Oryctolagus cuniculus: one gene and its partner. The protein of the gene in region 1 interacts with the protein of each later gene in a pairwise test. Links are inferred from orthologs where the notes say so. Each region holds a gene or a part of one and is shown on either strand. Other genes may lie near its edges. The genes, in order: PLEKHA5 and PDZD11.

Evidence for each region.
Region 2: the proteins of PLEKHA5 (region 1) and PDZD11 interact in binary tests that used the Homo sapiens proteins (3 or more experiments, as listed by UniProt). The two-hybrid records come from large-scale screens. The link is inferred for Oryctolagus cuniculus from reciprocal best matches to the Homo sapiens genes PLEKHA5 and PDZD11.

The regions. Positions count from the first base shown.
Region 1 is NC_091440.1:116,939,970-116,943,786, reverse strand, and holds part of PLEKHA5 (pleckstrin homology domain-containing family A member 5), read right to left. Parts: exon of another isoform or gene 3,351-3,817; coding exon 3,235-3,350; intron 2,944-3,234; coding exon of another isoform or gene 2,926-2,943; intron 1-2,925.
Region 2 is NC_091453.1:50,184,921-50,189,239, forward strand, and holds the start of PDZD11 (PDZ domain-containing protein 11), read right to left. Parts: upstream 2,812-4,319; 5' UTR 2,679-2,811; exon of another isoform or gene 2,658-2,678; intron 1,971-2,657; 5' UTR 1,958-1,970; coding exon 1,871-1,957; intron 1,421-1,870; coding exon 1,337-1,420; intron 735-1,336; coding exon 678-734; intron 389-677; coding exon 290-388; intron 55-289; coding exon 1-54. Other genes in the region: chromosome-associated kinesin KIF4A, read left to right, coding at 3,294-3,413, 3,525-3,639. UniProt on the Homo sapiens protein: Mediates docking of ADAM10 to zonula adherens by interacting with PLEKHA7 which is required for PLEKHA7 to interact with the ADAM10-binding protein TSPAN33.

The DNA of each region.
Region 1 (3,817 bases):
AGTACTAGGTACTTGGTACGAATGATGTGGCTCCTAGCCAGGAGGGTTAGTGTGAGCCTGTTGTGGAAATGGTTGTAACAGGAAATAGAGTTGATGCTATCAAAGGTCTGTGCCCTGTGACTTTCTCTGTCTGCACTCAAGACGACCTGAGCGTGGTGTGAGAGCTCGGGAAGCCAGACTGCCTAGGTTGTGCTCAAAATGCCACCTTTTACTGGCTGCATCTTTGGGCAAAGTTCAAAAACTTATCAGGCCTCAATGTCCTGTTTGGTAAATGGGTGTAACATAGCACCAAGGTCTAAGGGTTGCTGTGAGAACCGACTGAGTAAATCAGTGGCTGGTACAAACCTTATTACCACTGTTATTCCATCCCATTAAGCATTTCTGGCCCAGTCATTTGTGGTCTCTGACAAGGTCAAGCTGAGCATCTGCAAGTGTATCAAACTGCCAAGATCAAGTCACTCTGGGAGGCCTCAGAGGAACTGGCCAGCCTTCCACGTCTCAATAGCTAACAACACTCCTCCTACCCGATCCTACCCATGGGACTGCTGCCCATTTTTGTGATGTGTGGGAAATACATAGACTCATACAAATATATCTATCTTCAACCATAATTGAAAGCATCTATATCTATCTATTTGTATCTACAGACATACAGTCATTGAGTAAAAAGTGAAAACAAATGTGAAAACTGTTCTTGGATTAAAATTCTGGACTGCTCATATATTCATTCTTAGGTTAGAAACAAATCATAGTTTCTGGGCTGGAAGGGATATTAGACATTGAGAAATTTCACTATGTAGGTTATGGAGTTTCTTTTCCTGGAAGAATAAAAGTCAGAAAATATCCACAAAAAGCACATTTCTCCTTGTTGAATTCTGGGGTGGAGGGTTACTAAATATTTGAAAAGATGTTTCAAACTCATTTGTCTTTAGTCTATCAAAAGCTATCACTTAAAGGTAGAAGTGCATTGACTTTTTTTCCCCAAAGATTTATTATTGAAGAAATATAATCAAAAAAGATATTCGTGATGACTTTCCCTAAGTGGAGGAAAGCTGACTCGAAGTATACTGATCAACATAAATAATGTAAAACTTGTGATCTAATTTTTAAAATAGTTGACACTTGAATCAGTGTAGAAAATTCACTGAGAAATGTAAAGTGAAAAAAACAGGCCTGGAAATGAACGTTATCTATGGAATGTATACCACACTCAGCATTCTTTTATGCTATCAGTGATGTACATACTAGGGGACTATGACATTGTACTTCACAGGGGGAAATATTACATAAATTTTGATGAAATGAAACCATTTAGTTAAAAACTTGATGCTTCATCTCTTAGGTGATATGTCCTGATACGAATTGTAAGTATTCTGGCCACAAGGCAAAGGTAGTCTAATATTTTAAAACTAAACAAGCAAAATTTCCCTATGCTTTAGATAGGAAATACTAGATACCTTCACACAGAATGACCACACCTAAAAGGATGGGATAAACTTGTCAGCAACTGGGAGTAGAAGAAAGGATGTGATTTGCAGAGGTAACAGTGACTGTCTCCAGACTGGACACACAGTGATGCATAATCATTCCTGGGTGACTGAGCCAATTTCACCAACACAACTGGCTGAAGATGGTGACGGGCACATAAATCAACTACTAGGTTGCAAGAAGTCAAACAAACAAAACAAGCAAACAAAAACGCCAACCATCATCTGTATCACCCCGAATTATGAGAATTAACTGTGAGTTTTTAGAGTGGCAAATTCAATAAAAATAAATGGAAATAAGTTAAAATTTTGGGAAAAGTATAACAGATTATTGAAATGACTTGGAAATTCAGATATTTTAGTTATTGACTTCCATATTCTAAAAAATTATCTTCAAATTTTACATTAAATGTAAGACTACTTAAGATTCTAAGTTAATTCTTTTTACTTACACATTTTCTTTACTTCTCAATGCTTACCACCTCATCTTTATGTCCCTTCAGGTAAGTTTTACACCTGGAATTCCAGAAGCAGATTTTCTTTCTATGGGCTCTTAGATTAGAATCCGCGTAGGTAGAGGTGGTTTTCCCTAAAAGTAAGTGCCTAGAGCTCCAACTTAAGTTCTCTTTTTCTTTCTATGCTTTTTCCAGTATCTAATTAGTAGTGAGTGGCTAACTTGATTTAGATTTAATATTTATAAAAACTGCAGAAATACAGCTTCAACTTAAAGTCTTTTAGCCAATAAGGAAGAAAAAAAAAAGACTCAAGATTGACACTGTTAACAATCCCCTAATTTTCTGAGGAGGGGGAAAAGGACCAAACCTGCATGTTGGCATCTTCCTTATGTAAAATACATGCATAATTGTCACTAACAGGAAATAAAAGTTAATTGTGTTATAAATTTACCTTTAAATTATAGGAATATAATCTCTTAAGAAGTACATTATTCAATTTTTATTTACAGTTTGAGAAACAGATTTCCTCTGATTTTTTCTTTAATATAATGGAAGAATATTAAAATGATAGTATCATCAAGCAGGGAAAAATACTACACTTAGGTAAATTTTCATAGTGCACATCTGTATCAAGGAATCTTAATACTAAGTTTTCAGAACAAAGAAGGCACAATTCACCAATAAGTGGACAGATTAAAAATCATCTAAATGCTTGATGAACTATTTCTGAATAAACAAATATTAATCCTTTAATAAGTATTAAAGTCTACCAGAAAATGCTGAAGAAATAAAATTCATCAAAACTTACTATAATTTACTAAACTTCAAAAACCTTCAACATACTATAAAAATATAATTAACTCTATGAAAATAAAAACAATTGAATTATGAAAGTAGATGCTAAGATTCAGGATCTTAAAAAACACTGTCTTAAAGGCTATAAGTCTGCATAGCTTTAAGATAACAATTTAAAATGTACTCACCGGAAATTAAAGGTAATTCTGTAAGAAGAAAGAATATTCAGTTTGAATGTTAGGATTCTAGAGTCACCTCAGTAAGCTGATAAGTGAAAATGAGTAAAGAAGAAGGGTGGAATAAAATGTACGCAATATTTCAAATTAATAAGGTGCATTAAATTAACACAGAACATGAATTAATCCTTGCTTTCTGCGGAACAAAATGATTCCATGTCATGACTATGAACGTGCTATGTACCACGACAATGGTGTGCCTGCTAGGCATGGAAAACAATGGAAGTGGCGATCAGTATTATTTTCCCTACAGGCCTTTACCTTTTCACAGGTTCTGTCTGCACCAGGGCAGCATCTAACATGGCCTTCATCCACAACTCCATTTCCTTTCCTGTATCAGTGCAGAAATAATAGGTCCGCATGTTTGGATGGGCTGCCTGATTGAAAATGACACGATCATTTTAAAGAAAAATACGGGACTCTGTAAAAGAAAAAGAAAAACAGATAAGTGGTCCCTTGCATAGATCATTACTGTCAAATTTTTAAGAAAGTAGACTTGTCTTTTATGTAAGAAATTGGAATGACGTAAGAAAACATATAATTATTTATCTTGAAAAAGATACACTTAATGCTTTTCCCTTAACTTTATCCCTTTTCTTTTAATTGTGTATACTCTAAAATGTGAGAAGGAGGAAAAGCAGAACTCAGTGGTGCTGTGCCATCTATATGCTCTGGCAATTTTCATGTATGGCAATTCACTTTTCTTTATTCAAGAATAATGTCCCAGAGCAACCAGCAACAATCAATTCAAATGCACACGTGACAGCGTTTCCCTCTTGTGTTAGCAAGTTCTTCAGTCCTCAAAAGGTGCTGCTATTAAAGTGTTCTGCAGAATCCTTATGCA
Region 2 (4,319 bases), on another chromosome or scaffold:
AAAGAAGCGGACACGCATGCTGATTTCACGGGCTGTCTTCAGTATCTCCACAGCCTGCAAGACACACAACAGCAGCTTACACAAATGAAGACAATGACCCAGGAGAGAACCATAGCAGGGCAAAGGGACGTCCCACTCCACCCTTCTGGGCCATGAATAGCTGCTTCCCTTGGGTCCATTTCCCCAAGAGAGAAGCTTGCTTATCAAGTTACAGATTAGGCTAGTCCTGCCCAACCTGTCCTAGCTGGGATGACTTCTTGCATCACCACAGCCTGCGTGCTGCGCTCACCTTGCTGTGCTCAATATCCTGGAAATCCACATCATTCACAGCTAGTACTTGGTCGCCTTCCTGAAGTCCTGCCCGGTGCGCATCAGAGTCAGGAATCACCTGTTGGTAAAGAGAAAACACGTGTGATGGGGAGGGAGGTAACTTCTGAAGACTGTAAGGGAAGCTCAGTGCTATCCAAGTGTAAGGTGCTACTACTTCTCTGACAAGTAGAGAGACAGATGGCTTGCCAAATAGAGAGTTTTAAGTGGAAAGAGAGTGTCCTCATTATGCCCCTTCCATGGAGTCCACCAAAGCATCCTTCTGTCAGCCCTTGGGGCCTCAGGGATCTGCAAGCCGCTAAATTGACAACCGAAAATAGCTATCTCCACTGCCCATCAGGCACACGCACCTTGGAGATGAAGATGCCTAGCTGTGAGGCCTTTCCTCCTCGGATGTTAAATCCCAACTGTAAGGCAAGAGCACAGAACAGACACTCAATACAGACCACAAACACAAGAACTCCTAAGTAGCATTATTGTGCCAAGGGCTCAGCTTGTGTGTCCCTCAGAGGGAAGTCAGAAGTTGTAGAAGCGGGAGCTCCACTTCCCTGGTCACAAGAAGGAGAATTTCGGGGCTGGCACCATGGTGCAGTAGATTAATCCTCCGCCTGTGGCGCCTGCATCCCACATGGGCACCAGTTCGAGACCTGGCTGCCCCTCTTCCAATCCAGCTCTCTGCTATGGCCTGGGAAAGCAGTAGAAGATGGCCCAAATGCTTGGGCCCCTGCACCTGCATGGGAGACCAGGAAGAAGCTCCTGGCTCCTGGCTTCGGACCCGCACAGCGCCGGCCATAGCGGCCATTTGGGGGGTGAACCAATGGAAGGAAGACCTTTCTGTCCCTCTTACAGTCTGTAACTCTACCTCTCAAAAATAAATAAATAAAATCTTTTTTTTTTTTTTTTAAAAAAAGAATTCCTTCAGCTTACCAATCCATCCTTCCCAACCATGGCCACCTTCTGGCATGGATACATCTTGCTTGGAGTAAGAAAGGGGCTCCTATCAGCTCACCTGAGCTCCAGGAGGCTTCTTCAGTGTGACGACTCGGGGCAGAAACTGGGTCAGCTCATTGTTGTAGTCTGGGTGGTATACTCTCTGCAACACAGTAACGGCAACCCCAGAAATTTACTACTGGTCTTAGACTTCACACCTACTTTCTTCTGGAATACTAACGCCTCACTCTGAAGTCGGGAAAAGGTACACACATAGCCAATTTGTTACTTGGACTGATAACCTGGCCAAATGAGTAGATGGACAGAACGGGAACATACTAACAGCCCAGTAGCTCCCCACTTTTTCATCTGTTGACAGAAAGGGAACTAGGACTCACCGGTGTGAATGGACCTTGGCAGCAGGTTTCCATAACAAGTTCCCAATGGGCCTATTGGTCAAAATCCAGCTTCTGGGTCCTCTGGCTCTAAGGGCTAACATTCATTCTCTACTGAGCTTCATTTCTAACCCTACCATTCTACCTTTCATGTATCACCTTGGGCTTGGGGCAGGGAGGGAAGGATTCCCCTACTCAGGAATACAAACTGTTCCCACCTCATGAGGTGGAATCCACGCTGGGGGATTCTCATAGGCAGGCAGAAAAACCACTGGGTAGTCATCGTAAGGAATCCGGCTGTCCATCTCGGGCGAGGCCCTAGAGTGGAAGGGTGGATCAAAGCAGACAAAAGTTAAGTTCCAAATGGACAGCAGCCCAGGAAGTTTCAGAAAGCTGCTCTGACTCACGGCAAGGCTGTCAGTGTATGGGCCCAGCCCACACCTAGGTGTTACGCTGGAGGACAGAAGGAAGAAAAGACAGAACAAAATGACTTACTTTGCTAAGCAGGCTATGGATGTCAAGCAACCTGCTAGGTATTCTAGAGAGATGACCTAATTTATCAAAACAATCCCATGAAATTGATGTTAACATCTTCATCTTACAGAAAAAATAATTGGGGTCACGCCTAAATTTTTTTCATTAAAATTTTTTATTACTAATAAAGAGAACGGATTTCATAGGTACAATTCTAAGAAAATAACCATATTTCCCTTCCTCCCTTAATTCCCCCTTTTTTTTTCTTAATTTTTGCAAAAACGTTAATTTCGAAGTCCAAGAGAGTGAGGACTCCATCTTGCTCCAGGGTCTTGGGGGCCAAGCACAGCCCTACATTTCCTGGGTGCGATTAGAAAGGGTGGGATTCCCCAGGTCAACCCTTCCTCCACCACCAGCCACTCTCTCTCTCTCTCTATATATATATATATATACATATATATATATATATTCCCGTCTCGCATCCTGTCTGACTCCCGCAGTCACGACAACGTAAACGCCGAACCACCTTACCGGTGGGCCGGACTCACACACCTCGGGGCCAGCGCACCACCACTGAAGTCTGGGAACCGGAAGCGGATGTTTGCCGGGGTCGAAAAGGGGCGGTACCGAGCTGCGACGAGCTTCCCTTCCCCTCCCACCTCGGCGTCTGGGTGCGCGCGCGGACGTGCTTGCTCCGCCCCTAGGCTGTGGGCGCTCCCATTGGCTGGCGCCTCAGGAATCGATTTGAAACTTGGCGGTTAAAGCTCCGTTTAGGAAAGGGCCACGGGAGACCGGGGAAGACCGGAAAAGGGACATTTAGTTTGGTGAGTTACGGGGGCACACCTTGGCTCGGAATCTGCCTGTTTCGGTAGCCTGGGGCATAGCTTTTTGTCGACGTCTCCGCTGGAGTTTTTTTTTTTTTCTTCATTTCAGACGCTGTCGGGCTGAGCAGCCGTCCATCGTAGCCAAGCCTAAGGAAGTGTGTACCTCCGGAGGTATCGATCTCGCTGGAAGGGAAGGCTGCCACCGCTTCGGCTGAGTTTCGTAACCCTCCCCCACCCTCCGCCGGAACCGAGAAGTCGACCTCCTACCCCAATCAGACCTACCAAAATTCATCAGCAAGCCCCCTCTTAATTCCTCCTGCAGAGACCGTGCCGAGGTAGGATCATGAAAGAAGAGGTGAAGGGGATTCCCGTACGAGTGGCCCTGCGATGTCGCCCTCTAGTCCCCAAGGAGATTAGCGAGGGCTGCCAGATGTGCCTTTCCTTCGTGCCCGGGGAGCCTCAGGTGCGTAACAGAGTCCACCGCCTATCTCTGAACAGCTGGGGCCGACTGGCAACGAGGGGCGTGGTCTAGCCTTTCTTTTTTTCCTTAGGCCTTGTCCCTTGCCTTTCCTAGGTGGTGGTTGGTACCGATAAATCCTTTACCTACGATTTTGTGTTTGATCCTTCTACCGAACAGGAAGAGGTCTTCAATACAGCAGTGGCACCACTCATAAAAGGCATCTTTAAAGGTGAGGCTATTCAATTCGTCGAAAGTGTCTTGGGCATTTGCTGTGTGCCTGGCATTGTGTGGTCGGGTGCTGCAAATACAGGAGTGGATGAAATGCCCACAGCCTCGTTTTATGCCGTATTTGCTTTCGGTGTTTGTGTTCATCTTTGACTTGTGTACATTTCTGTTTGCTCTGGAGTCTCAGTAGATGACAGCTCTTTGGCAGGTGCCAGTGGTGCACAGCGTGGCCACCTGCTGCAAGTTCAGGCCCCAGGATTACTTATTCAGAGATGTGTAATGCAGCTTCCAGGCCCCGAAGGCATTGAAAGTCCGGGGAGTGGGAGAGGAGGTACATCAATACAAAAATAACTTGGAATACATAAGCAATTTTAAATTGTTCGCTCCTGACTTTAAGAAAATATATTTTAAAAGTTCAAAATATGCAATGGAGCCCAGTTCTGCTGTAGAAGAAACCCTGATTTCATTCAGAGTAGCATGACAAACAAAAGGACAGCACCAACTCTGCTCAGGAGATTTGGGGTGAACCTCACAGCATAGGAACCTTGGAGATAGCTTTTGAGTGATGAGTAGAATTCTTTTCAAATGGAGCAGGGGATTTCCTGAAGCCCCTGAATACTATGGCCAGTTACTAATCTTTATTACAGAACCTAAGGCTTTCATGGTTTTGAAGACTATAGCAGG